Mus musculus: one gene and its partners. The protein of the gene in region 1 binds, or shares a complex with, the protein of each later gene. Links are inferred from orthologs where the notes say so. Each region holds a gene or a part of one and is shown in the gene's direction. Other genes may lie near its edges. The genes, in order: Snrpg, Snrpf, Rbm48, Prpf6, Srrm2, Snrpd3 and Plrg1.

Region 1 (2,431 bases):
CTCTGGGACCACATGGTTGAAGGAGAGAACCAACTCCTTGAAGTTGTCCTCTGACTTCTGTATTGGCACCATACAAACAAATTTAATTTTTTTAAACATTTATTTTATTTATTATATTCTACCTACATGTATGCCTGCATGACAGAAGAGGATGCCAAATCCCCATTACAGATGGTTGTGAGACACCATATGGTTGCTGGGAATTGAACTCAGGACCTCTGGAAGAGCAGTCAGTGCACTCAACCTCTGAGCTATCTCTCTAATCTCTGTAATAACAGAGATCTCTGTAATAACACACACAAATGTAACCAAATCTTTGTAATTACATTAGTGTAAGTTCCCTAGCCCATGTCAACAGTTCCGGATTTGAGGCTGGGAAGATAACTTGGCAGTTAAGGGACCTGAGTTCAGTTCCCAGCATCTGCACTGGGCAAATCACAACTGCCTATGGCAGCTTTAGGGTATCTGATGACAACTGCCCTGGTACACACACACTCATATCCAAACAGTACAAGATCCTTACTGCTTTAAATGTTATGTGTCTGGGGTACAAATTGTAGGTTTGGTTTGGTTTGGATTTTTACATTGGTTGTGTAAGTGTGTACATATGCCAGGTATGGAAGTCAGGACATCTTAAAGAATTCATTCTCTGCTTCCAGCAGTGAGTTCTGGGAATCAAAATCAGACTTGGCAGCAAATGTTCTTACCCACTGAGTCATCTCACCAGCCCAGATTTTAGCAATTTAAGAAAAGGAAAAAGACTTAACTTTGCCTGGTGGCACACCTTTAATTTTCCACACTGGGGAGTTGAAGGCCAGCCTGGTCTACACAGTGAGTTCCAGGATAGCCAGGGCTACATAGAAAAACCCTATGTCTCAAAAAGACATTTTATTTTGTATGTGAGGGTGTGTGCATTTGAGTGTAGGTGCCCTGGGGTACCCTCAAGCTAAAGTTGCAGGAGGTGGTGAGTCACCTGACATGGATATTAGAAAGAGATCTCAGGCCCTCTGGAGGAACATCGAACCCTCCTAACATCTCATCCCAGCCCAAGCAAATCACTTTAATTTTACTGATTCTGTGCTTGTTTGTGCTTAGAACTTTTTACATAAGTCCTAATTTTTGCTCTTGCTTTTCCAGGTTTATGGACAAGAAGTTATCATGTAAGTTTGCATCCACCTCAGCTAACTACTTGGTTTCTTTTTGTTGTCTTGGCAATATGTAATCTTTGGAAATGTGTTATAGAAATTTAATATATAAGACATCTAATTCTTCTCCACTAATCAGATTTGTCAGAGTTCTAATTAGACTTTTTTTCTTTGCCTTCTAATTGCATTATCTTTAATTACATTATCTGTGCCTCCCTGGCCTTGAATTAGCAGTGTCCTACGTTATAATATTTAAAACTTTATCAGCCCCTTTCCTTTAAATATGTTACCAGGGAGTTGGACAAGCAGCACTTGATGTTTCTTGTGGATGTGTAGGTTTAACTAGAAACCTCCTGACCCATGCAATTGAAGTATACTGAAATTTTAGGATTTCTCTTCTCTACCATTCAACAGCTCTAAACTCTTGTAACTGGTTCATTTGTGTAAAGATACTACTTTACGTATAAATTTACTTACAAATACATTTATGTATAAATGTTGAGGCGGTTTTACTTGGGGGGGGGGGGACAGTCATTGAGACCAGATCTCGTTATGTGACCCTGTCTGGTCTCACAGTCCTCTTGAAGCAGCCCTCCTCTGTTGTTGCCAAGTGCTGGGATTACAGCCATGAGACTCACAGGTAATGTCTCCAGGGTCTTAAAGGCTAAGATATAGGCAAAGAAGAACTGGAATATTAGGATAGAATTAGCCCATGGTTAGGCAGATAGTAGGAGTGGTGGTCACACATCCCACCTGATCTATGATGGATGGTTGAACTTGGTTTACTGAGACTTCTTCTTTCTCTTACAGTGAAGTTAAACGGTGGCAGGCATGTCCAAGGAATACTGCGGGGCTTTGATCCCTTTATGAACCTTGTGATTGACGAGTGTGTGGAGATGGCAACCAGTGGGCAACAGAACAACATTGGCATGGTGGTGAGTAAGGGCAGCATCTCCAGGGTCTTCTCCTCCCTCCTTCACATTCCTCATATCAAAGTCTCAGATTAAAACCAAGTTAGTTACCGAGGAAAGGTAAATGAAAGGGAAGACTGGGCATTTGCACCTCCCCCTTCCTTTTACCTGTGGACACACCCAGCTGTGGTACTATTCCAGGTACCTACAGACAAGCTCTCACCTGCAGGACCCTCTCAGCACAGGTCTTGGAACAGCTAGCTGAAGGGATTTATTTTTGAGCTTTGCCCTGTAAGAGATGGGCACGCATATGCAGACTTTGACTACAGTACAAATTCTCTAGCATGCTTTTGATGCCCCAGGATATCTTGTTAA
Region 2 (4,223 bases), on another chromosome or scaffold:
CTGTCTTGGTTTTATTACGTATCTCTCCTTGTGCATTTTACTCTTGGTCCTTTGCAGAATACGGAAGACAGCTCAATACAAGGAGAAAAATACTAACATGAATCTGTCTGAGTCTAATTCCCAGTATTTCATCACCTACAGTATTAAATTAGAAGTTGGACTAGGTATCCCCAGGATTGTGAGTTTAAGATTTATAAATTTGTCAATGCTGACTGAATAAGTAGAGCATATTTGAGTGTCAGGAACAGTAATTATTCTTCCATTACCATGGGAAAAAAATCCGAGCTAAGATTTCGGTCTGATCAAAATGTATCTGAGATTAGCAGCATCATTTTTAAAATTTTCTTTATCATGTTTTGTCTGCATGTGCGCATGTGCACCGCGGGAGGGCCTGGCACCCACAGAAGTCAAAAGAGAGAGATGGGTCCCCGGCACATGAAACTTTGGATGGTTGTGAGTCACCACCATGTGGGGATGGGATTCGAACCCAGGTCTTTTCACGTGCGAAAAGCGCTCTTCTCCATTGAGCCAACACCCCCAGAATGTGTTGGCATACTTTAATAATATAAACGACAGTCTTTAGGCTTAGGCCTGGGCCAATCTCGAATCTCGAGTTATTTGGGGAATCCATGCCAAAAAAACAAAACAAACAAACAAACAAAAAACCGTTCAGGTTCATATAGGGTTAGATCTCCCGAAAAAGAAAAAAGTACTCTTTTTACACGGGTTTCATATCACAGGTGAAGCGATACTGAAATGTTGAGATTATGGGGAAATTAAACGGGGTTCTGATCGATAACTTTCCATCAGAGCGATTAACCTGTGGTAGCGTCAATAATTCCCCACATCCTATTCACAAACACACGTAAACGGACCTCCTTTGGCCTCTGGTTCTGGGAATGCTTAGACATCAGAACGACAAGAGGCCACCACATTATCCGAGACTTAACTTGACCTGGTTTCAACTGTTGTAAAGCCCCACTTGAGTGCTTTTCACTAGCACTCACGTAGTCTTGCTACCCCAGCTTCCTTTAAAAACCCGCAAGTGGACGGACATTCTGTAATAAAGAACAGTCCCATAAAAGGGGGGCCGTGCCAGAGGTGTTCCCCAAGTGCTGGATCTATGGGAGGATGACCTCCAGAACCCGATCTCGTTCTTTCAGCTGAAGGACAGACTAAACCTTCTTTAGCTAAAGAAACCAAGTCCGTTCGCCAGGGCACTTAGCTTCCCCTTGTCCCGAAGCAAAGACATTGGGGTCGCTCAATCGTTCCCACTTCGAACTTGAGCAGTGGACACAAACACACGCTTACCTGGTTGCTAGGAAACAGTACCGCCATCCCCTCCAATCAGTAAACACGTCTTTGGTGGCCAATCACAGAAGCCGAGACAACGCGGCGTGAGGTGAAAGGTCAGGCCGCTTTTGTCGGCCATTTCTCTTAGCGCGGGTCGCTTGGTTGTAGCGGCAGCCGCTCCGGTCACGAGGGGCGGGCAGCGGCGGAGTCGGCGGCTAGCGGGGTGCAGCGCTCGCCGGTGGTCGCGATGGTAAGGACGATGAGCGCCGCGGGGGCTGGAGGACGGGCGGCCTCGCGGGGCCCGCCGCCCCCTGCGCCTCCCATTCATCCCCACGAGGCGCCGCGCGGCTGGCCGCTCGCTCCTGCTCCCGACGTCGGAGGCCTTGGCGGCGCGCGCGCGGAAGCCCTTCCCCTCCCCGAGATCCCCAGCCACCTTTCCGCGTGTTGTTTGTCCCGGAGCCTGAGGTGTAGCCTAGTTTGGGCTCACAGGGTAGGGGTAAACCGAAGCGAGTTTTCCATTTCTACCTAGCACGCTCCGCAGTGCGCCATTTATTCCTTGCTGTTGACAATTTTAGCAGATTGTCCTCTGGCGCAGAAAACCCCGGCTACCCTTCCACTCATTTAATACTGATCTTAGGCGCCAGGAAGATGGGGTGGTAAGGTAGACTCTGCGTTTTCTTAGGAGTGGGAGGTAGGCAGCCGTCAAATAATAACAACAAAATAAGCAATTACAAGTAGCGGTGATTGTTAAGCAGGGAGCTGATAGGATGCTCTGAGAGGTGCACTGCCTAGTTATAACGCAGTGGAGGAGCGCTCTTCTCCAGAAGGTGTCAAATAACCAGACATCCAGGTCACAGAGCAGGTGGAAGAGTATTTCTTGCGCGAGTTCCAAGTAGAAAGTAGGTTTGACCAGTTGGAATTGACAAGAATTGACCGCTGCTTGCAAGAATGATGGTTTTAAAATACAGCCTGGGACCTTAACGCCTCCTAGGAAATATGAGGCTCTGTCAAGTGCAGTTAGAGACCATTGGAGCATTCTTTTAAGTCACAATAGTACATGACTTGATAAGTGGTTTGTGGATGATAAATTATAGGCAGCGTAAATTGGCTACTCATTTAGACCCTGTGCTCTCCAAGATTCTTTGGGATGGTGTGTGAGTGGAATGGAGTATGGGGGTGGTTATGAATTTAAAGGGAATAATACTTCTTGATTTAGCATTAAGAGGCCCTCTCACTGACGATATTGAGCTTTTTTTTTTTTTTTAATGTCTGCAGAGACCACCCTGTACCTTTATTTTGATTCCTTTAGAGCTTGGATAATGTAGGTATTTGGGGCTTTTGTCCATTCGGCAGTGCTCAAAATGGAACTAGTGACCTAAGTATCCTAGGGCAGTGCCCTGTCATTGTGTTACACACTTGCCCCACTCCCATCTGTCATTCGACATTTAATTGCATAATTCATATTTTCGTTTCTGTCAGTGGACTATGAAGTTGGCTAAATGGGTACTTAAATTTCTCTCAGACACCCTCCAGCAAATTATAAAGTGATGGTGGATCGGAGTTTACCCTGTGTCATAAAGTCTTGACTGGTGTCTCAGTAGAGAGTGGGTGGTGGAAGCTGAGGTAAGCAAAAATTATTGAGTGCTGCCTTTGGTTTTTATACAGAGTCTACCCCTCAACCCCAAGCCCTTTCTCAATGGGCTGACAGGGAAGCCAGTGATGGTGAAACTTAAGTGGGGCATGGAGTACAAGGGCTACCTGGTCTCCGTGGATGGCTACATGAACATGCAGGTATGCTGAGGAGGAGGAGCATGGGTGAGGAGCAGGAAACCAGGTTTCTACTGTGTCACCTTACTCCTCAAAGGTTTACTGAGACTGGTGGGAATGCGCACAGATTGACAATAGAAAGTGGAGTCGAGATTAAAGTATGAACCAGGGAGGAGGTTGAACCATGATGTTCTTAGGAGTACTTACACCAGAACACAGAGCTTTGACATTTGGTCTCTAAAGCAGAAGGGAAAACTAGTTTATTACAGAAAACAATGATTCAGCCTGTCTTTTTCTAAGACGTGTCTGTATAGGCGATTAGCACTATGATGCAGTGGCATTAGTACTCAAATGGAACTCTGTACCCATTAAATAGTTCTGTTACCACCTGTAATCCACCTGTAATCCAGCCCTATGATTAAGAGTGGGACTGTCTCTCATGTAAGTGGAATGTATTATAAATTCAGCTAACTTCAGATCAAAAATTCTTAAGAGAAATTATATCTTATGTTCGAGGTACACAGTCCTTTTGCTTTCTCCACTGTACTAGGCTATGATCAGTCTAGAAATTAGAAGGACATTAGGTTCTATGCAGATGCTCAGCTATTTGAAACAAGGAGCTCCAACACCCTTGGTCCTAGAGGCCCTGGAACAAAGCCCCATAAATGCCCTGGGGTAGGCTTTTTGTCCTTTTGTCTGGTTTGATTATAGCTTCAGGATTCATTGATAGAAGTTACTGCTTTTCAGGACTGAATAATATCCCGTTATATAGCTATAACGCATTTTTACAGTCTATTATGTTTGTTTGGTTTTTTTAAAACATTATTTTATGTGAGTACACTGTCACTTTCTTAAGACACACCAGAAGAGGGAATTGGATTCCATTACAAATAGTTGTGAGCTACCGTGTGGTTGCTGGGAATTGAACACAGGGTCTCTGGAAGAACAGTCACTCTTAACTGCTGAGCCATCTCTCCAGCCCCATCTGTCCAGTTTCTTGTAGGGATCAAGCCCAGACCTCTGTACATGCTGACCAGCAGTCTGCCACTAAGCTACATTCTCAACCTGTTCATTCATTTTGATTTCTAGTTTTTAATTTTATTTTATGGATGTCTTGTCAGTGTACTATGTATATGCCTGCTGCCCATCAAAGTCAGACAAGG
Region 3 (4,300 bases), on another chromosome or scaffold:
GTAATTGCTAAAAGCAATGACCTCTCAACAAAAGTCATATTAATACTACACAAAACCAGGACAGGAAGCTGGGCGTGGTGGCGCACGCCTTTAATCCCAGCACTCGGGAGGCAGAGGCAGGCGGATTTCTGAGTTCGAGGCCAGCCTGGTCTACAAAGTGAGTTCCAGGACAGACAGGGCTACACAGAAAAACCCTGTCTCGAAAAAAACAAACAAAACAAAACAAAACAAAACAAAAAACCAGGACAGGAAACCTCATGTGTATCTAGCTCCACCTTTCTATAAACAATAAAGATTAGATATAAGCATGCAAGACTTAATCCAAATGCTTAGTATTTTACTTCTTCACTTCTCAAATAATAATAAAAATAATAATAAAGACCAAGACTATGTAATTCCTAAACAGTGATGAATCCAAGGAAGCAACAACATGTCAGGTTCAAATTCTTAGCGACCATAAGGAAGCATTTTTCTAAACTCATGGGGTGGTAAGCTTAATTTGAGATTTGAAAATACACTGAAAAATCCCCATCAGAAATGACAGGGAATAATGATCCAAGCTGGGATTTGGTAACAGTGAATGATTCCTTTCAGTCACCAGAAAGCAAACCAGAGAGTTAGAGAATATTTGGTGGAGATAAACTAACAGTAAGAATGGTTCTGATGAAATTGGTGTGTTCTGATAGGTGGACTGTAAAAGCAAGATAAATGTAGCAAAGAGGAAATAAAGGTAGAATACTTGAAGTCATTTCAAACTCTTGTATATTTTTTTTATGACCCAGTGTTCAGGTACCATGCATCTAGGATTTTAGATTTCAAATACTCTAACCCCATGAATACACTCAAACTAAGAGAGTCTATTTCTGCTCACTCTTAGGAAAATATGGATGCTGTATTTCCACCGATGGTTAATAGCCTTGAAACACCATAATGACAGAATCCAGACAGCTCGCTGAGGTCCAAGTAATCCTAGCTACCGAGGTGAAAGTGTGGGGTGTGAATAATTCCATCACCTTGTCACCCCGCCCCACCTCCCTCGCCGCACATATTCTTGCTATGTTCGAAGTCCTCCGGAGCAGGGAGAGCTATCTATCCTTTTATTAACCTTTCGCACAGGTTGGAAACCTTGGTAATCTACAAACCAAGTCTGCCACTCAACACCTCTATCGCTGCACCGGCAACTCGTTGGCAGGATAATGCTTTAGCAACCTGTAAGCAAACCTGTAAGAGCTCTCTAGAACTTTCCATCCTTGAGTGAGGGCCGCTTCTGACTGCTGGGGCAGAACCCTTGCATGCTCAGCTTGCTTTAACCGAGTTAAAGGGGTGCACTAGGAATTCCACGGTAGGGTCTGAGGATACACTAGCCGTGGTGTGGATGCACACGCTGCCACTCCACGCCATGCCCGCAGGGGGCCCTCGCTCACGCCTCAGCTCGGGGTCGGTGGCAGACGATGTCCCTGCAGGAAAAGGTGTCAGCTGACCCTAGTCCCACGAGACGTCAGTGGTGTCCGCGTCCCGCCAGCGCGTTACCTGCAGCAGGTGAAGCTGGGCCACGAGGCGCCGCGGCAGATGCAGGAAGCAGTCCCGAGCATTCGTGAAGGCCACCGTCACGACCGCCCCACCAGACCCCGCACCCGCTAAGCGATCGCTGCTCCACATTGTCCCAAGGTTCAACTCTCACCGGAGAGCGGAGTCCACCGGCTTCTCGTCAGGTGAGAGCGTCGGAACCCGAGAACATCGATCAGGCCCGCCCCCCTCTTCCCACGCCCGGCCGCTGTCACCCTCGGGCCACCTCCGAAGCTCTAGGGGGCGGCACGTCGCTCGTCGAATTCTCGCTCTCAGGAGATGATCGTCGATGGGGTCGATCCTTCAGCCAATCCTAGCACGCCTGGTCCATCCTGCTCTCTTATTGGACTCAGAGGAGCGCGGCTGGCGGATGTTGTTCTGGCGCGGGGGACTAGAGCCGGCAAGATGGCATCCAGTGACGGGAAACCTGGTGGCGTATTCGATCACCACGTCCAGACGGCTGTGTGTGACTCGCGGGCCAAATACCGGGAGGGCCGACGCCCTCGCGCGGTCAAGGTAGAGTGACTCGGATTCTTCTCTCCCCTCGGCAGGGACACTAAATTCCTGTGAGCACTAGCTCCCCAAGGCCTGCCTCCATAAAGGCATGGCAGGGATGTTGTGAGATCCATCTCTAAGTGGAGGGGGCACGAAGAACCCGGGCCCCGGTACCAAAGGTTATCACTACCCTCGGTTAGCTGCTTACCAAACCTCCAACCCACTATTTTTAGCTTTGTATCCTATGTGTTTACAATAGCGCTTCTCACAGGGCAAGCCCAGGGTGAGTGAGTGTTCAGTGGCTGTTTACATTAACCTCTCTGGAGTCAGCTTTTGGAAAAGACGTCTGTTAAGTGGTTTAGTCAGATACCCTTATGTGGAGTGTGGTAGTCTTTAGGCAGAAGAGTGACAGTTTAGTGTGTATGTTTTGCAGACCGGATTGTTTCTTGTTTTCAAAGCTCCATTTAAAAGGGGGTGGGAGGACCGATTTGCCATAGGCTTGTTTGAAGAGTACATTTAACGAGGTCTCCTTTGACTTTAGGTATATACAATCAATTTGGAGTCTCAGTACTTACTAATACAAGGAGTTCCTGCAGTGGGAGCCATGAAGGAATTAGTTGAGCGTTTTGCTCTGTATGGTGCGATTGAACAGTATAACGCTCTAGATGAATACCCAGCGGAAGATTTTACAGAAGTTTATCTCATTAAATTTGTGAAATTACAGAGTGCAAGGTATGTACAAGTTAAGCAGAACTCCTGTTAAAATCTTATTCCTGTTGCTGTCATTTTGGCCCCAACTGTTTCCCAAATGTACCCAAAGCACAGAAGCACTTCTTGCTCTCAGTCTTCCTGATTGGGGGGAGGAGGGGAGGGGACAGGGTTTATTTGGATAGCCTTAGCTGTGCTAGAATTAGTTCTGTAGACCAGGCTGGCCTTGAACTCAAAGATCCCTTTGCCTTTGCCTCTGACTCTCGAGTGCTGGGTTTAAAGGTATGCACCACTCCACCTCGCCTTCCAGTTTGTTTTTCACCAGGCCTCACATCTGCGACTTAATCACTCTAACAGTGAGTGACATCCCAGCTCTTCCTTCAAGCTTTTAAAAGGCTGACTTTACAACAATACTCTTCCCATCCTCTCATACCTGTGCTTGGCAAATTTTGAACCTGTAGTGTGGTAGATTAAGAATTACGTTTGAAGTAAATTATCAGTCCTGTGGATTCATGACTGTGGAGAATTTTAGTCCTCCAAGCAAATTTTTGTTCTTTTCCTAAAATCCATATGGCAAAAAGGACTACTTCTTGAGGTTCACTGAGCAAGGATGAAATGGGACAATTTATGTAAAGGGAGTAGACTGGTACCTCCTATTAAGAGGAAATAGTAGAGCCGGGCAGAGGTGGCACATGCCTGTAATCCTAGCACCAGGGAGGCAGAAGCAGGTGGACCTCTTGAGGTGGAGCCAGCCTTGTCTACAGAGTGAGTTCCAGGAGAGCCAGGGCTACACAGAGAAAACCCTGTTTCCAAAAAACAAGCAAACAAACAAAAAGTAACTATTAGTAATGACAGTTCTTATTTGTATAGTTCTATGTTAATCAACTTTGTATTCCAATAAGGAATGCTTTATTTTATGTTAACCCCTTTTGGCGGGGGGGGGGGGGGGTGCATGTGTGTGCATATTCCTGTGTGTGTATGTGTGTGTGTGTGTATGTGAGTGAACACTAGCCTGAAACTGGCTGTGTAGACCAGCTGACCTAGAACTCAAAACTTCCTCCAGACTCTGCCTACCCATCTCCACCAGGTTCAAAGGCTTGTGTGCACTACAGTGTACTCTATCCTATTTTTTGAGGTTGGGCCCCTCCCTCACTGAGCTCATTGGCTAGATTGGTGACTGTCAAACTCAGTGATCCTTCTATCTCTACCCTGTGAGCACTGGAATTACAGGCACAGTGCGGTGCCTGGCTTTCACGTGCATGCCAGGGGTCTGAGCCAAGGCACTCCAGCAAGGGCTTTTCCACCGGAGCAGCCTTCCTAGCTCATGTTAGCCATTTTTTCATTTTAATCACTAACCTTATCTAAACCATATCTTTTTCTGGCTTTTGCTATTCATAAACTTTTTTTTTTTTTTTGGTATGGAAAAAGACTTCAAATCCCCTGGAGCTGAAGTTACAGGTGGTTGTGAACCACCCAAGATGGATGCTGGGATTTGACTCTGCTCTTCTCAAAGATCAGCAAGTGCTCTTTT
Region 4 (3,500 bases), on another chromosome or scaffold:
AGTTCTTTATGAAAGGACCCTTAGGATTTACTCTGTAGAATGTCACTTGGTAGTCATGACTTGTGGCCTTAGTGTATGCTGCTGCCTACTCACATGTTTCAATGGTTAGCTCCCTCCCACAACCTATTCTTTCTTTGCGGCTAGCTCTCAGACTGATGTGGAAAGTCATCAAGACTTGGGCCCAGGGGCTGGCGAGATGGCTCAGTGGTTAAGAGCGCCGACTGCTCTTCCAAAGGTCCCGAGTTCAAATCCCAGCAACCACATGGTGGCTCACAACCATCCATAACAAAATCTGATGCCCTCTTATGGAGTATCTAAGGACAGCTACAGTGTACTTACATATAATAAATAAATAAATCTTTAAAAAAACAAAACAAAACACTTGGGCCCAGGGCTCTGGGGAACATGGTGGTGTTTCTGTATGATACGGATTTGCATATCCTTCGGTTTGCTCGTGAACATGAGGGCACGTGGGGTTCATCAGTGAAGGTGCTATGACCCACAGGTAGTGGTGGCCAGAGATGACCCAGAGACTTCATACCCAGTATCCAAGGCTGACAAATATTCTAGTTCAGTAATGTCCTTAAATCACTCTCAATGAGACCTTTTTTGGGGGAGGGAGACAGGGTTAGGGACCTTAATCTTTATTAGTGTATCCAGGGTATCCTCTGAGCTTCAAGATAAAAAGGCCTTCACTGTCACCAGACTGCCATGTTATCAGTGCCCAGGATACATGGCTATAAAAGGCTCTGCTGTTTAAACAATGCTTTGCTTTATAGAGCACTCTTCAGTAGTTGATTTTAGATTCTTTGTTGGAAGGAAAGATTTCCCCACACTCTCCCCATCGTAAAATCTTGTAAATCATTAATAGTACCGAACTTTGGAGTGGTAACTGTCTTTTCAGCATCTTAGTAGCTATATGCCCTGATTTATGGCCCTAGCTCTAGTGACCATGTCCTCTATCTTTCAGGGAGTCTCTGGAAGCACTCTTGCAGAGGGCTGTAGCCCACTGCCCCAAGGCAGAGGTGCTATGGCTCATGGGTGCCAAGTCAAAGTGGCTGGCAGGGGATGTACCTGCAGCAAGGAGCATCCTGGCCCTGGCCTTTCAGGTAGGTGAAGGATACCTGCCCTGGAAGGGGCTATGAACACAAACTCAGATTTGGTGCTACTGTAGCCTCAGAATTTATTCTATACAAATTTTTTAGGATATGCCATGGTCTAGTCTAGAGACACTAAATTATGTGCATGGCCTGATTTATGGGGTCAAAGCATGAAGAACACCCCAATCAGGAACATTGACCTCTTAGTCATACTTAGTATGACTGTAGGCTAAGTATTCTAGAGTACAAGGGCAAAGCACAAGCTGCCAGGGTATTTTAGTACCTCTTTGAGAGTGGGACCAAATTAAAACAGTCGTACTTACCTGGACTGACTAGGTTTGCTGTTACAACATGTATCGTGTGTATGTGGCAGGCATGGTAACTGTGTATATGTGTGTGGGGGTGTGTGTGTGGGTTGTGTGTGTGTACGTACTAGAGGTCAGCCTAGAGTATCTTCCTCTATTGCCTTCCTCTTGTTGTTCATTTATTTTAAGGGCAGGATCCTTCACTGAGCCCGGAGCTTAGAGCTTAGAGCCAGTTTGGTTTATCTCACATCAGCTGTCTTTAGAACCCGTCTGTCTCCACTCTCCAGCACGGGGTTACACATATGCATTGCCATGCCTGACGTTTACCCACTGACATTGCCCAGTAAGCACTTTACCCACTGAGATATCTCCCCAGTCAACATATAACATTCGAAAAATATTTCTATCAAAAAAAATCCTAATATTTTATCATAACATAGGTGTTAGATTATTTTAATAAGTTATAGGATGCTATATAAATATCAGTCTAGTATCATAGCCTAAGGTCACAGTAAAGTTTGTTCTTGTGAGACAACAGAAACATCAGAAAAAGAGCTAACTTGGGTCAATCTTTTGCTCCAGCTGTCACTTGGAAAGGACAGAGGAGCAAGTGGTAGTGCTGTGCAGAGAGATAGTGCTGTGCAGAGTGATTGATGTTTTTCCCACATACAGTTTTCTCGTCTAGTTGCATGCCAAAGCTCTAAGATGGTTGGTTCTCCTTTCCCATAACAGTAGGCAGCATGGCCATGTAGCAGAAGTCCCAGAGGAAGGTGGATACAAGTTCTGAGTGCACCACTTTTACGTCTCCTGGACTGTGTGTTTGTGTGGCTTGGCCCATGCCTTTGGGAGCCCTTTACACGTCATTATCTGCACCTTGAACATCTTTCTACCCTGACCATATGGTGTGGCTAGCCAAGGGGAAGGGATTAAGTTAGACAGAGCAGCTCCTAACACAAGGCATGCGTTTTAGAGGCTGTGTAGAATTTAGACGGATTCTAGAGAGGGCGGCTCTACAGCTCTAGCATTGTTGCTTCATCTGTACAAGAGTAAAAACAAATGTGAAGTTTTAGGTTTTTTGTGTTTTTGTTTTGTTTTGTTTTTCCTTCAGGTAAGCTTGGGTCCTGGCTGAGGTCTACCCAGTCATCCCCTAGTTTGTAGCTTGTGCAGGAGTGTACTAATACTAGTCATGCATCAGGGAGAGGGCCAGCTCAGTTTTGAGGCTGCCTGTTTTTGATTAAGCATAATCTAGCCTTGGTCACTTCTGTGATGAGCCTTTCTGATGCAGCTGTGTTTGTTCTCCAGGCCAACCCCAACAGCGAAGAGATCTGGTTGGCGGCTGTGAAGCTGGAGTCAGAGAACAATGAATACGAGCGAGCCCGGAGGCTACTGGCCAAGGCTCGGAGCAGCGCACCCACTGCCCGTGTGAGTGGTGACTGGTGGGTTAGGGAGAGTTGGCAGGGTGCCTCTTGGCTCCCGCATGGCGTTTGGAAGGAGACAGATGAGTGGCACAGCTTAGACCCCAGCCCTGTCTTGGTATTGGCTTTAACATGCATCCCTTTATTTATCTATACCTTTTGTATTTGCAGAAGAGCTAATACAAAAACGGATGAGGCCCAGGACAGATGTGTGAAGATGTCTGTGACTTCAAGCATATGATGGGAAGTGTCCCTCATGTGACAGTGCTGTTCTGCTTTGCAGGTATTCATGAAGTCTGTGAAGCTGGAGTGGGTTCTGGGGAACATCTCTGCGGCGCAGGAGCTGTGTGAGGAGGCTCTGAGGCACTATGAAGATTTCCCCAAGCTGTGGATGATGAAGGGGCAGATTGAGGAGCAGGGAGAACTGATGGAGAAGGCCCGGGAGGCCTACAACCAGGGGGTAAGCCTCTGTCAAGGTATCCCAGGGAACCCGGCAGCATGACATGGCAGCAGTCATTCCCACGCTGGGAAAGAAGTGGAGGGCCAGTGGTCGGGGATAGAACTTTGTGCTTGGAATTGAGCCTTTGTTCTTCCTGTCACTGTGGGTACTGTGTTTTTTTCCTACAAAGTTGCACACCCTGTGTTTGGGATATATAGGGTTTGTTCAGTACATCAAAAGT
Region 5 (4,053 bases), on another chromosome or scaffold:
ATATCGGACACCCAAGAACTCATGACAGACCGAGCTTGTTGCAAACCACATGAGGCTTTATTTGGGGAAAGCCAGAGCTCTGGGGACAACTCATATCCCACGCAGGGGTAGAGGAGTCGTCCTCGAGGGGAAAGAGTTTCCAGTTTTTATAGGCCCTCAGGGGGGAAAGGAGAAGGGGGAGATTAGGGGATTTCCAGATCTAAACAATGTCTATTCTCAAGAAATGGGTATGGAGGGGTACAAGGAGAGTCTAATGAAGGTGCAGCAATGAGCACACACCTGGTCAGAACATTGGCAGACACACAGGTTCAAGGAGTGGCCAGAGCATTGTGCACCTCTATTTTTCTAAATCAGTGAAGCTAGTTCTGCTAACACTGACGTCTATCTTGCCAATTTCAGGGCTTCTGTGTCCTTTTACATTCTGCCAGGATCTTTCAGTGCCTCAGTGGTGGGGCCCTTGCTACCGAGTGAGAGGCACTGGGACAAACTCCCGGAACCGTGCTATAGGGCCAGGAAATGGAACTGCATTCTCACATTCCTCCACTTACATGGCATAGTCTCTATAGGCGAAAAGTAATCACTTAGTCTCTTTGCCCAAAGGTAAGAGAAAGTATTTTTTAGTGGTCTGCAAGCCCCACTTCAGATAGGACTACAGAGGTGGAAACTGTGGAAAGCACCGGATACTGGGCCAGAAGCCGGGTTCAAGTGGCTCCAGAGCTGTCAGGTGGCTTGACTCTGAAGCACCTCTTCCTGCGAAGAAGACTCGGTGCTGTGGGGCCTCGTACACATTAAAGAAAACCATGGTCACAGTGACTAGGTAAAGCTGCTGAGCCACTGCCACCCAACACGGTCACATAAAATGGCGACCCTGCCTAGCGGAGGAGTCTTACGCGTTTTCTCTCTAAAACCGAACTACAGCTCCCAGAACTCTGTGCGCGGAAGGCGTGCGTCTGAGCTACTCCCGGGTGTTGTGGGTTGCGGCCCCCGCGCCCCTCCCCCCTCCTACAGAAGTTTTTTTTCAGCCGACCTTGCAGCTTCGGTACGGAGCCACGCCTTTCCCCGCAGTGCCCGACGGGACTCGGGGTTTTTCGACTTTTCAGTAGCACGTCCCTTCGCCTAAGGTCCTCCTTGTGGCTTCAACGCCTGCGCACGACGCACTACGGTTCCCAGAGGGCCCAGCGGCTCTCATGATTGCGTGCTGACGCACTAGGTCGTGCTGACGCGCAACGCTGCCCAGGCGGGGTGCGAGTGGCGCAGTCGAAGCCCGCTGCGGCCCCTGAGGAAGCGAGGAGGCGGCGGCGGCGGCGGCTGAGGCGGGCGGACCGACGAGGCGGCGGCTTCAGGCTCCGAGGGATACGAAAACTTAAGCAGCAGCTGCGGCGGGACCTCCCTGTTTGACAGTCGGCGGCCGGAGGCGGCGGCGGCGGGTGAGAGAAAGGGAGCGCGCTAGCCGGGTGGGGGAGGGGCGGCGGGCTGGGCCGGAGGCTAGAGCGCGGGGAGAACGGCCCAGGCCGCCGCGCGCACGCGTGCTCGTCGCCTCGGCCGGCGCGGTCGCCTTCCCTTCCTCCCCTCCCCCTCCCGCGGTTCCTGGGACGCGCGGCCTTCAACTCCTCCGCCCCTCCCCCACACGGCCGCGGCGCGCGCGGCCGCCTGGTCTCGTCCGCGCGCCCCCGGTGAGACAGCATTGCGCGAGGCTCTGCTTCTCTCCTTTGCTCTACCTGGGGCTGAGGAGGCCGTCGTTCCGCGGTCGTCCTCTTCGGTCTTTTAGGGGGCGGGGAGAGGGCGGCAGCGGAGGTACTTGTCCCCCGCCCGAGCTTCGGACCTGCTGGTACCTCTCCTCGATCGGCTCCGGCGTGGGTCCACGGGCCCTGCTAGGGGCCTGAGAAACGGCCAGAGCCGCCCAGACCGCGGGGCGCCGCGTGGCCCCCTCCCCCCTCCTCGAGGCCGAAAATAAGCTGGGCTGCCCAGTGGGCGGCGGGAGGAGGCCTTGAACTTTCGGAGGCCAGGATTTAAACCGTTCGTCCTCGTTAGTATCAGAGGCTGTGAGTGTGTGCGTGGGGGTGGGGGATCCCCAAGTCTTAAAAAGTGAGGATAATAAAACCGCGAAAGTATTCAGCCTGCGTGTATAAGGAAGACCAATGTGCTCCTTTCAACCCTGTTATTTTATTTCTTTTTTACGGTTTGGTTTTATGAGCTAGGGCCTCTAAATAGTCTTGGTTGGTCTGGCACTAACCGTGTAGATCAGGCTAGCATTGAACTCAAGAAATCTGCCTGCCTCTGTGGGATCAAAGGCATGAGACACCATGTCTGGCTCCTACCCTGGTTTTTGTTTTTTGTTTTTTTTTTCCCCGGAGACAGGGTTTCTCTGGCTGTCCTGGAACTCACTCTGTAGACCAGGCTGGCCTCGAACTCAGAAATCCGTCTGCCTCTGCCTCCACACCCGGCTCCTACCCTGTTTTTAAAAAGGTCTCCTCAAATATTAAAGCTAAGCCTTTTAGAGCTTTTCGATGGGGAAAAAATTCTTGACTTAATAGCCTGGCTTCAGTCAGCCATTACTTGGTGATGACGTTCTTCCTTGCTGTTTCCATCTTACAGTTCTTTTAAGATGTCTCTTAATTGTGGATTCAAAAGGAAACTATTGCCTTTTTCCGTGGGAGTGGGGCCTAGGCCTGGATGTATACTGTAGCTTGTATGTTTCATGGTGCCTATGCAGTCAGTAGTGTCTCAGCTCTGAGTTCTCTGTATTTTTTACTCAGCGTCCTTTTCCTTGATCATTGCTGTTCTCTCGGTCGCTGTTTCTTGAATATCTTAGTTTGCTAATTTTCTACCTCTTTGTATTTTGGCATTCTGATAAGTTTTCCTCCCTTGCCGGCAATTTGTTCTTGGAGAGGCTTGCATGCTTTGGGCTCCTGTTTTAAATACTTCCTGGTTTTGGTAGTTGTGGTTTCCCTTTTAGTGTTTCAAGCATTGTTTTTGGCTGCTGGTATGTAAGTCCCCCCTCCCCCTTTAGCTCGTCTCTGAAAATTCTCCAAAACTGTGACTCTAATACTTTTTGCTTAGCTTTCATTCTTCAGGTAGGGTGTGGGAGGATTTTTGTGTGAAATGGTGAAAATATGAGTGGTTAGAAGGACTGTTAGGTGAGAAAGCAATATAAGCCCTAGATTTAGAGTGAGGAAGGATTGGTTTTTCTTTTTCCAAGACTATCAAGAGTGGTTGTTAGAAGGTACTACAGAAACATTAGAGGGGGGGGGCTGTAAAAAAGGTTTTGCATTTCTTAGATTTAGCCTTATCTCTTACTCTTGTTGTCTCTCCTAGATTTACCTTTCTTGCTTTTAGTTTCCTCTTGTGTTAACTGTTGAGATTGAGTAGGACTTATGTTAGGCTTGAGGATGAAATGGGGCAAAAGTGCATCTGGGTGTTTGCTTTACATTCAGCATCTTCCTTGATTCCCCCCCCCCCCCCCCCGCACTTTGGTGACATGTCCCCATCCCCAGACTAGGATTTTTTTTTTTTGTAGCCATGGTTGTTCTGGAACTTGCTGTATAGACCAGATTGGCCTAGAACTCAAGAGATCCACCTGCCTTGCTTCCCAAGTGCCGGGACTAAAGGCAGTGCCACCAGAACCAGGCAACACACTTCAGTTTGTTTTTTGTTGTTGTTGTTGTTTTTTTTTTTAAACCGGGCATTGATATGGTACTATTTCACCCAGCTCCATCTCTGCTATCTGCTTTTACTAACCTCTGCTTTCCCCTGTGTGTGTGTTTTGATGCTAGTTTTCTTTCCCATGTTTGAGACCCTATTTTGGAGAAAATGTGTTAGAGGAAAAAAGTAAAACATACATAGTTAGAAGGGAATAGGGAATGAGTAATACAGTCCAAAAAACTGGAGCTTGAGAGTTTAGTGATGCTGAGCTTGGAACACCATGAAAAGGTAGAACCTTACAGGAAAACTGTTAAATTGGAGAGTAAAGCAGGACTTAGAAAAACAATGAAGTGTCAGAACAGGGATTGATTGATTGATTGAAAGTCAACACTTTTACATTAAAGGTATGGA
Region 6 (4,200 bases), on another chromosome or scaffold:
CCTCAGGGCAGAGGGAACCAGTAAGCGAGTAACCAAAACAGTACCAAGACAAAAAGCGCTGAGAAAAAGATGTTCCCTTTGCTGGGTGCTCCCAGGCCATTCTTTTCCCCCTCTTTCCCGCCCCTTTGCTGAGAGCTCTCAAGCCATTCTTTCCCCCTCTTTCTCGGCCTCAGGCTTTCCACAGTTCCCCGGGGAATAGGATCACCCAACGTGCTTCAAGCAGGGCTATTCGATTCTGGACAAGGTTGTGCCTTTTTGCCCCTTGGACTTTTCCACTTGACGGCTCTCAGCACTCCCTGGGCTTCAAGCCCCAGGAGACTCAGGAACGACCCTAAGTGGAGGACAGGAGATGAGAAGGAATATCCACCTAGCTAGGACCCACTAGAAGCTCCAGGCTGGGCTGAGGCCGCAGACGACCCAAGGTCGCGCGCGGCCAGACCCTGCCCGGCTCTAGGGCGGAGTCCCCCTCCGTTCCCCCGGTTGAAGGCAAGGCCCTGAAGAGAGGCACTGACCGGGCTCGAGCGGCTGCCCCGCTGCCTCTGCCTCCGTCCTCATGACCCGGATGGCGCAGGGCGCCCATGGCCCCGGCCTGGAGCTGATTGCAGCGGCGACTTCTGCTGGGCAGCGAGCGCGGCCAGTGAGCGCAGAGTTCCTCCTCCTCCGCCTCCGCCGCCGCCGCCGCCACCGCGGTTCAGAGCCGGGTAGGCGGTGGCTAGGCCGCCTCAAGCCACGCCTAATCCCTTCCAGGTCTGGGCGCTGGAAACCCGCCCCTTCCATAAGCCACGCCTCTTCCCTTCCACCCCCACTTCTCCTTCCAGAACCCGCTACCCGTAGGTCCTTCCCTGAAACGCTCCGGGGGCCCCTCCCCCTCCCCGAGCCCCGCCCCTCCCCGAGCCCCGCCCCCAAAGCCCTTCCCCTAGCGACGTGGGCTCCCCACGCTCTCCCTCCGCTAGGTCTGTTCTTCTGCAGCCTCAGATGGAAGCTCTGGTTCTCCGCAGTGCCTTATCGAGACTCCAGGGAACACTTTCCCGACTCCTTTTAGGTCTTCTTACCCAGACAAGGAATAATGAGAGTTCCCAGGGCTCAGTGCGTCCCTTACCTGCCGGTGGCCGGATCCAAAGCTTAAATCTCTAGTCCAAGCCTCACTTCCTGTCTCCCCAGAGCACTGGGCTCAAGCCCAGATCCCGCCCAATCCGCCACTACAGTACTCAGGGTTACCATGTTCCCTTGTTGGGCTCCAGGATTGGTGTTTCCGGCGGTCCCCCGGGCCCTCTCCGGTGCCGGAACTATTGTGCTAGAGCCCTGGTTTCCCCAGCCGGCTAAGTGAGAGTGAAGGGCAAGTAGGCTTAAAGGAAAGGGAGGGGCCTGCGCAAGGCATTCTGGGAGCGCGTGGTATTCGTGAGAGTCGGGCCGGTCGTTCTCTCGCCTTCGCCTTCTAACGTTTGTGCCAGAACCGGAAAAAAAATAAAGCCTGCAGTTAATTGGTGAGGAGAGGCGGCTAACGGGAGAGAGGAGGCCAGGGCTTCCCCAGGGGGTTTAGGAGCTGGAAGGGCCGCTGCGGAGGAGCTCAGCGGGGCTTGCTTAGCGGAGGGCGGGAAGCCAGGGCCTATCCAAAGCTCATCTCCCGAACCCTTGAACAGTTATTAATTTACGCCTAGTCTGCACGTTCGGTGCCTTCTCAGGTCACCGATTTCCGAAGCTTACGGGCAGTCATTTCTTGCTAATTACCTCCTTTCCTTTTGGATCATCATTTACAACGTCCCTTTCATCCCTGCCTCCACTCCCATTCCTGCAGTGGCCCTCTTTTCCACGCTGCTGCAGAAGTTTAATCAAGTTGCCGTGCTATATGTTCGATCCACTTTGTAGATGCTACTCTTTTTTTTTTGAACCTTTGGCTATCATCCTGCAGTGTTTCCCTACCATTTTCAGCATGGAAACCCACACTCCTAAAGTTGAAAGCCGTGGTTCCTCACCGAGAGAGAGAGACTGTGTTTAGCATCCTTACAGTCTTCTCATGCAAATAAATGGTGTGCTCCGGTTTTGAGTCGTTTCCAATCTCAGCATTTTAAAAGCCCTGTGCATAGTCTTTGTCTTGTAGTGAGACTTAAAGTCGAGCGTTTACCCTATTTCTCTGCTTGATGAACATTTCCTATTTATAGCACCGTAGCCTTGACAGTTTTGGTCTGCTTTTTGGTGGGGATTCAAAACGCTGGATTGAAAAGCGCAAGCTCTTTTTCCTAGCTTCCTTGGGGCTCAGGTCTATATGTACTATTAGGTTCTGTAGCCTTTATCCAAATGTGGTGGCTGACTACTTGGGATATTTCTGGTGTGACTGAAAGACTGAGTTTGCTTTTATTTGCATTTTATTTAACTCCATGTAAACAGTGATTTGTTTACACTCCGGGTCTATATCATAGCCCTTTTAGTGACTATAAAGGGTCATATGGCTGGGATGAGAATGGGGGTAGTACTCTTTGTTCCCATTACTTTTCATTGTCCAGCTTACCATCCTTCCCTACCCTACGTGTTGCGCTAATTTGCTGTGGTGGTTCCTTGAGGCCAAGAGCCACACTCCTTCCACAGGAAACGCAGCTCTTGACATCATTTACAAAGCCCATGGCGTGCCAGTCCTTAAGCTCTGAAAGATGACCATCGTCTCTCTTTCCCTGTAGCCCGGGAAGAGTCCTGCCAAGATGTCTATTGGTGTGCCGATTAAAGTCTTGCACGAGGCTGAAGGCCACATAGTGACGTGTGAGACCAACACCGGGGAAGTATACCGAGGGAAGCTCATTGAAGCAGAGGACAACATGAACTGTCAGGTATCCTGCTTGGCACCAGGGCTGGGAAAGGGCTGTGGCTTCTATCCTGTGGGTAGAGCGGTGTACTTGGAGGTCTTAATGAAGTTATTCTCATCAAACAGTTATTAACTAAGTACTTATTACCTGTCAAGCACTCTTACAGGCTCTAAGATTTTATGTCAGTATAGACTTAGCCTTGAGGCAGAAAAGTCATTTGACAGCCTGTGGTTGTACGTGTGTATCCGAGCACTTGAGAGGCTGAGGTAGATTCTCGAGTTCAAGGCCAGTCTGGGCTTTATAGCAAGACCACACTGCTTTTGGTAGGGAGTCAGAATGCTGAATTGAAAGCACAATCTCTTTTCCTAGATTTCTCTGGGGTTAGGTCTATATTTACTGTCAGGTAGCCTTTAGCCAAATACAGTTGCTAAGTACTTGTCTATAAAACAACCAGTTAAGTTTCACTTTTCTGTCTCAGAGTCGGTCAGGTTCAGAGCCAGTGTCTGCTTCCCAGCACAGTGTATAATTTGCAGGATCTTCTACTCACGTATTGTGTGTGCTTACTTTTGTCTTGGAGAAAGTTTCATCTGATAAAACTGCCAAAGTTTTGGCATATGGTTTGGGGGTTTTCCCCATTAATTAAGAACTTGAGCTTTGGAATCAGAGAATTCCCTGATTCCAAATTGAGTTGGGCCATAATGATAGGACCTTGGGTATCCTGGTCACTTGTTCTCCCCTGAATAAAATGAGGATGGAGTTGTTTTGGATCCTCTGTGCTGTAAATGCCAACCCAGAATTAGATACACCAGAGACTTTGGGGAGGTGGCGTGAAGGACGCCAGTGACCGAGCAGGATTGCGGAAGTGATTGGTTACTTTGCTTGTTGCTGTGATCAAATTCCTGACCAAAGCAACTTAAGGAAGGGGGAGTTTATTTCGACTCACAGTGTGATGAGACAGTCTGATGCAGAAGAAGTCATGGTGGCAAGAACTTGAGGAGGGTACTAACTAGTCACATTGAATCTGCAGTCAGGAAGCAGAGATGAGTGCCAGGACTTAGCCCAGTTTCTACTTTTCACCTCCACCTAACCTAGACAATCCCTCGCAGACACGCCTGTCCCTTCAGTAATTCTAAATCCATCAAGTCGGTAATATTAATCATCGTAGCAGGAGGGTCTTCAGTCCAGGAAAGGAAGGCAGAGTGAGCAAAAGGAGCCTCAGGCTACAACATGGTGCTGAGGAAGTTTCACCCAAGTAAGAGGAGTAACTGGAGCCAGTAATGGACTGGCTCTGATGTTTCTGCTGTGGTCAGTCCCTGGCAGCCTGCTGGAAGGGCTGTCGCAGCGTGAATGCCCTGGCAGGTCCCCCAGAGTGGCAGCTGGAGGGTGCCAACCTGTTGTCTCCTGA
Region 7 (4,167 bases), on another chromosome or scaffold:
CATAGCAAACAGAAAAACCCAGGTTCCTATATGAACAGGAGATCTGTGTATGATATGTGTGATTTATGGGTCTCATGACTAGATAATAGGATCACCCAAGCTATTCATTTAAGAAGGAAATTTTCACACGGGTGGCTTAATTCAAGAGCTGTAAGAAGAGTAAAACCTAGTGTGGTTTACCTCAGTAGACTGCCCTTATGAGCCTTGCATAAGCTGTGTTCAGGATGACTAAGGTATCTCACAAGTTTAATGAGAGTTGTCTAGTAGTTATATTAACATAGATACATTAAGGTCTTTCTTACATTTCCTTAGTGTTTTGTGATTTAAAATGTTCTTTTCTATGGCTATTACTATTTCCTTGCAACGTGCACAAACATTAGCCACTTTTACAGAAAATAAGATCCTTTGGCTAAACTCACATTCACATTTAGAAATGACTACTTGCGGGCTACAAAGATGGCGCTGACGTTAAGGCTCAAAACTAAAAAGACTAGAAATGTCCATTTTCAGGTTAAAAACACGACCTTCATGTTTTTAATGAATTAAAATATAAATCGAGCGAGAGCATTGCTGTATCGGCGCTACGTTTCATCCTTCTCAAAGTATTCGCAGTATTCTGAGGACGGTATCCGTGAACTTAACCACAGTTCAGGAAGACGCACAATCTGTGAAAACGCCTTAAGATCGCAAATAGCAACTACATCAATACAGAAAACATTTGAAAACGATCGATCATATAAGCCACAGATTTATTTTTAACCTGGGTAAATCACAAAACCTCAACACTTTAGCGTCAAGCCAAATAAAATAAAACCAACTTAAGTTCTCAACCTTTTTTTTTTTTTTTTTTTAATTGCTTGTTTAAGCTGGACAGTGGTGGCGGCGCACGCCTTTAATCTCTGCACTTGGGAGGCAGAAGCAGGAGGATTTCTGAGTTCGAGGCCAGCCTGGTCTACAGAGTGAGTTCCAGGACAGCCAGGGCTACATAGAGAAACCCTGTCTCGAAAAAAAGAAAAGAAACGAAAAAGTTGCTTGCTTAAAACCTCCAAGTAAGGAGCACCAAGCTTCTGGAAGCAGGTACCGCCCCTAAACGTTAAGGCTGGCGCGCTCCCTTAGCTCCGGCTGAAATCTCCGCCCTCAGGCAGGAGACTCCGCCCAGCTCCGCCGAGACCCGCCCTTCTGCCTGGAGACATCGTTCGTCCCCGCCCAAACCCCGCCCCAGTCCCGCCCAGCGGCTGCCGAAGTCCCGCTCTCCTCCAAGAGGCTCCGCGCAACTCCGCCTAGCTTCCGCCCTCCACCGCTAGACTCCGCCCCTCGACCCCTGCGCGGCGGGTTGCCAATACGCATGTGCGGTTAGCGTCACGTCCGGCGACGGGCCCCAATCTCCGGAAAGAGCTGCCGAATAGTGGCGGCGTTTTCTGCGGCGATTATTTGAGTTCCTTCGCTGCTGGAGGGGTAGACTAAACGGCGGCGACATGGTGGAGGTAAAGTGATGCTTGGGTACTTGGGAGTCGTTTGTCCCTGGAGCTTTGCTTTGCCCACGGAAGTGTAGGATGAAAGTGGTGGGAATCTGGGGAAAGGAACTGTAGTCAAAGCTGGTGGTCTCGGCACGTCGGGGTGGGAGGAAGGCCGATGACATCCCAAGTCCGAGCTTCAGTCGGCGGGAAGCCTGAGGGAATCCTGCAGTCCGTGTGTTGTCGTAGGTACCTGGCCGTCTCCTGGGAGGCGGGGCTTCTGATGTTCCCACCGTGGCTGGGATGCTAGTCCGTGCTGTCTTGTCAGTTCCACTGTTATTTCATCTCTACCGCAGTAGAGGCGTGCGGTTCTTGATTTTGTTTGTTTGTTTGTTCTTGCGTATCCCAAACGTTTCTTACTCCCACCCACTGCGTTCCAGGTCCACTGCAGTCCTCCGAGTCTAGCCTAACATCTTTTGCCCGGACTCATTCAATAACTTCCAGCTGGTCTAAGTGCTTAGGATTAACGAACACATTGCAGGAGTGTAGTTCAGTGCTGCTTTCTGTTCCAGTGTTATAGAGTAAAAATGTTGGTGGTGGCAGAGGTCTAAACCTCACCGACCCTGGAAACCCACACTTCCGCAGCATTCACAACTGCTGCGGTTCTGAGTTATCTGGACACCTTTGCAGTGGGATTTCCCACACTTTCACTGCTTGTACCTCTATTCCGTGTAAGGCTGTCTCCCTCTCTGCTTATCACCTGAGAGAAACCTTTCTTGATTATATCTACCAATTCTCCCCCCACCAACTCATCCCATTGCCTATTTTCATAGAACCCTCCAAAAATGTGGAATTATTTTGCTTATTTTTGTCTGTTGCCTCTTGAGTACACTGCATGCCGCATACAGTACTAGCTCGGTAAATATCTACTGAACACATTGTAGGCATTACTCAGTTACTTTTCTAAGAGCTCTGGCCAGACAGGAGCTTTCTCATCTTCGTTGTTGATTGCTGTAGTTTGTTACAGTTATTGAGGAGTGTATATCCTTCTCCATATTTAGCGTGGAAATTGCATAATGACTCTCATGTCGATTAGGGTGTATGGGTCTCTTGTTAGATGTGTGATTTTTGGCTGTCTCTTTACAGGAGGTACAGAAGCATTCTGTACACACACTGGTGTTCAGGTCATTGAAGAGGACCCATGACATGTTTGTGGCTGATAATGGAAAACCCGTGCCTTTGGATGAAGAGAGGTAAGCTTTATTCCTTTTCAGTTGCTAAAGTATTTAATATTAACAGAAGGGTGCAGAGAGAGGGGAGGAGGGGACTTTGAAAGGTCTTAAAAGTGCATACTCACAGGACGCTTGGGCAATAGCAAGTGGCTTTCTAGTGTAATATAAGTAATGGTAACTCATTTTTCTATTGTCTTGTCTTCTGCAGTAAAAACATCATTACCTAACTATAGTTTACAGGCACCCAGTGTGATGATTTGAAAGAGAATGGCCTCCATAGGCTCATGCGTTTAAATGCTTGCTTGGTCTCTAGTTGGTGGAGCTGTTTTGGAAGTATTAGGAGGTGTGGCCTTGTTAGAGGAGGTGTGGCCTTGGGGAGAAGCTGTGAGATTTCAAAAGCCTACACTATTCCCAGTTAGCTCCCTTATTGCTTGTCTACTCCCTCCCTCTTGTCCAGCCCCCCACCCCCACCCCACACATCATGCTTGCCAATCAGATGTAAGCTCTCGGCTGCTGCTCCAGCACTGTGCTTGCCTGCCTGCTCTCATGCTCCCTACTCTTATGGCCAAGGACTCTATCCTCTTGAGCCATGACCCCCTAGTTAAATACTTTATTTTCTAAATTGCCTCCAGAATGGTGTTTGCCATAGCAATAGAAAAGTAACCAGTACCCAGTAATTAGGGGCATCCCTGCTATGTCATCTTGTTTGTAGTGAATCAGTTTGTGTGTGATTTTAGCTTCTGCTCTCAGACTCTTTGTTTTGTTTTGTTTTGTTTTGTTTTTCGAGACAGGGTTTCTCTGTGCATCCTTGGCTGTCCTGGAACTCACTCTGTAGACCAGGCTGGCCTCGAACTCAGAAATCCGCCTGCCTCTGCCTCCCAAGTGCTGGGATTAAAGGTGTGCGCCACCACTGCCCGGCTTCTGGTCTCAGACTCTTGTTCTGCTGAAATTGTACTTGGCCAGTACTACTCCCATCTTTGCTCCGTGGTGTAGTGAAGAGTTTTGAGTGGCATATTTTTGCTTCTCGCCAGCCCTAGTCTGGGAATTGTGTTATGTGCAGTGCCTTTCTTTGCCCTTTGCTTTTTTTTAATAATCTACTTAATTTCCCTCATTTGCATTCATATTTAATTTATAAGGTAGATTATCTTTTTAAGTAATATAAGTACATTTCTCTTTAAAATGCTGAGCTAGCCAGGCGGTGGTGGCCCACGCCTTTAATCCCAGCACTTGAGAGGCAGAGGCAGGCGGATTTCTGAGTTCGAGGCCAGCCTAGTCTACAGAGTTGAGTTCCGGGACAGCCAGGGCTATACAGAGAAACCCTATCTCGAAAAACCAAAAAGTAAAAATAAATTTAAAAATATAAATAAAATGCTGAGCTAATTTAGTGCTTTCATTGGGTCTAACTTTTTAGACTACTAGTAAAGATATCTATACAATTTAACTATATTCAGACATTTAAAGTTTAAGCTATATTAGTTTGT

Evidence for each region.
Region 2: Snrpg (region 1) and Snrpf share a complex: the UniProt entries of both Homo sapiens proteins name them as parts of the U7 snRNP complex. The link is inferred for Mus musculus from reciprocal best matches to the Homo sapiens genes SNRPG and SNRPF.
Region 3: Snrpg (region 1) and Rbm48 share a complex: the UniProt entries of both Homo sapiens proteins name them as parts of the minor spliceosome. The link is inferred for Mus musculus from reciprocal best matches to the Homo sapiens genes SNRPG and RBM48.
Region 4: Snrpg (region 1) and Prpf6 share a complex: the UniProt entries of both Homo sapiens proteins name them as parts of the U4/U6-U5 tri-snRNP complex. The link is inferred for Mus musculus from reciprocal best matches to the Homo sapiens genes SNRPG and PRPF6.
Region 5: Snrpg (region 1) and Srrm2 share a complex: the UniProt entries of both Homo sapiens proteins name them as parts of the minor spliceosome. The link is inferred for Mus musculus from reciprocal best matches to the Homo sapiens genes SNRPG and SRRM2.
Region 6: Snrpg (region 1) and Snrpd3 share a complex: the UniProt entries of both Homo sapiens proteins name them as parts of the U7 snRNP complex. The link is inferred for Mus musculus from reciprocal best matches to the Homo sapiens genes SNRPG and SNRPD3.
Region 7: Snrpg (region 1) and Plrg1 share a complex: the UniProt entries of both Homo sapiens proteins name them as parts of the minor spliceosome. The link is inferred for Mus musculus from reciprocal best matches to the Homo sapiens genes SNRPG and PLRG1.

The regions. Positions count from the first base shown.
Region 1 is NC_000072.6:86,374,540-86,376,970, forward strand, and holds part of Snrpg (small nuclear ribonucleoprotein G), read left to right. Parts: intron 1-1,137; coding exon 1,138-1,160; intron 1,161-1,955; coding exon 1,956-2,080; intron 2,081-2,431. UniProt on the Homo sapiens protein: Plays a role in pre-mRNA splicing as a core component of the spliceosomal U1, U2, U4 and U5 small nuclear ribonucleoproteins (snRNPs), the building blocks of the spliceosome.
Region 2 is NC_000076.6:93,586,859-93,591,081, reverse strand, and holds the start of Snrpf (small nuclear ribonucleoprotein F), read left to right. Parts: upstream 1-1,423; 5' UTR 1,424-1,540; coding exon 1,541-1,543; exon of another isoform or gene 1,544-1,669; intron 1,670-2,958; coding exon 2,959-3,084; intron 3,085-4,223. UniProt on the Homo sapiens protein: Plays a role in pre-mRNA splicing as a core component of the spliceosomal U1, U2, U4 and U5 small nuclear ribonucleoproteins (snRNPs), the building blocks of the spliceosome.
Region 3 is NC_000071.6:3,593,748-3,598,047, reverse strand, and holds the start of Rbm48 (RNA-binding protein 48), read left to right. Parts: upstream 1-1,500; 5' UTR 1,501-1,530; coding exon of another isoform or gene 1,531-1,659; 5' UTR 1,660-1,845; coding exon 1,846-2,082; intron 2,083-2,602; coding exon 2,603-2,793; intron 2,794-4,300. Other genes in the region: Pex1 (peroxisome biogenesis factor 1), read right to left, coding at 1,531-1,659. UniProt on the Homo sapiens protein: As a component of the minor spliceosome, involved in the splicing of U12-type introns in pre-mRNAs.
Region 4 is NC_000068.7:181,646,319-181,649,818, forward strand, and holds part of Prpf6 (pre-mRNA-processing factor 6), read left to right. Parts: intron 1-970; coding exon 971-1,109; intron 1,110-2,707; coding exon 2,708-2,827; intron 2,828-3,103; coding exon 3,104-3,280; intron 3,281-3,500. UniProt on the Homo sapiens protein: Involved in pre-mRNA splicing as component of the U4/U6-U5 tri-snRNP complex, one of the building blocks of the spliceosome.
Region 5 is NC_000083.6:23,801,972-23,806,024, forward strand, and holds the start of Srrm2 (serine/arginine repetitive matrix protein 2), read left to right. Parts: upstream 1-1,253; 5' UTR 1,254-1,427; intron 1,428-1,683; exon of another isoform or gene 1,684-2,026; intron 2,027-4,053. UniProt on the Homo sapiens protein: Required for pre-mRNA splicing as component of the spliceosome. As a component of the minor spliceosome, involved in the splicing of U12-type introns in pre-mRNAs.
Region 6 is NC_000076.6:75,516,642-75,520,841, forward strand, and holds the start of Snrpd3 (small nuclear ribonucleoprotein Sm D3), read left to right. Parts: upstream 1-1,400; 5' UTR 1,401-1,484; intron 1,485-2,672; 5' UTR 2,673-2,693; coding exon 2,694-2,819; intron 2,820-4,200. Other genes in the region: protein GUCD1, read right to left, coding at 513-555. UniProt on the Homo sapiens protein: Plays a role in pre-mRNA splicing as a core component of the spliceosomal U1, U2, U4 and U5 small nuclear ribonucleoproteins (snRNPs), the building blocks of the spliceosome.
Region 7 is NC_000069.6:83,054,171-83,058,337, forward strand, and holds the start of Plrg1 (pleiotropic regulator 1), read left to right. Parts: upstream 1-1,367; 5' UTR 1,368-1,475; coding exon 1,476-1,484; intron 1,485-2,600; coding exon 2,601-2,707; intron 2,708-4,167. UniProt on the Homo sapiens protein: Involved in pre-mRNA splicing as component of the spliceosome. Component of the PRP19-CDC5L complex that forms an integral part of the spliceosome and is required for activating pre-mRNA splicing.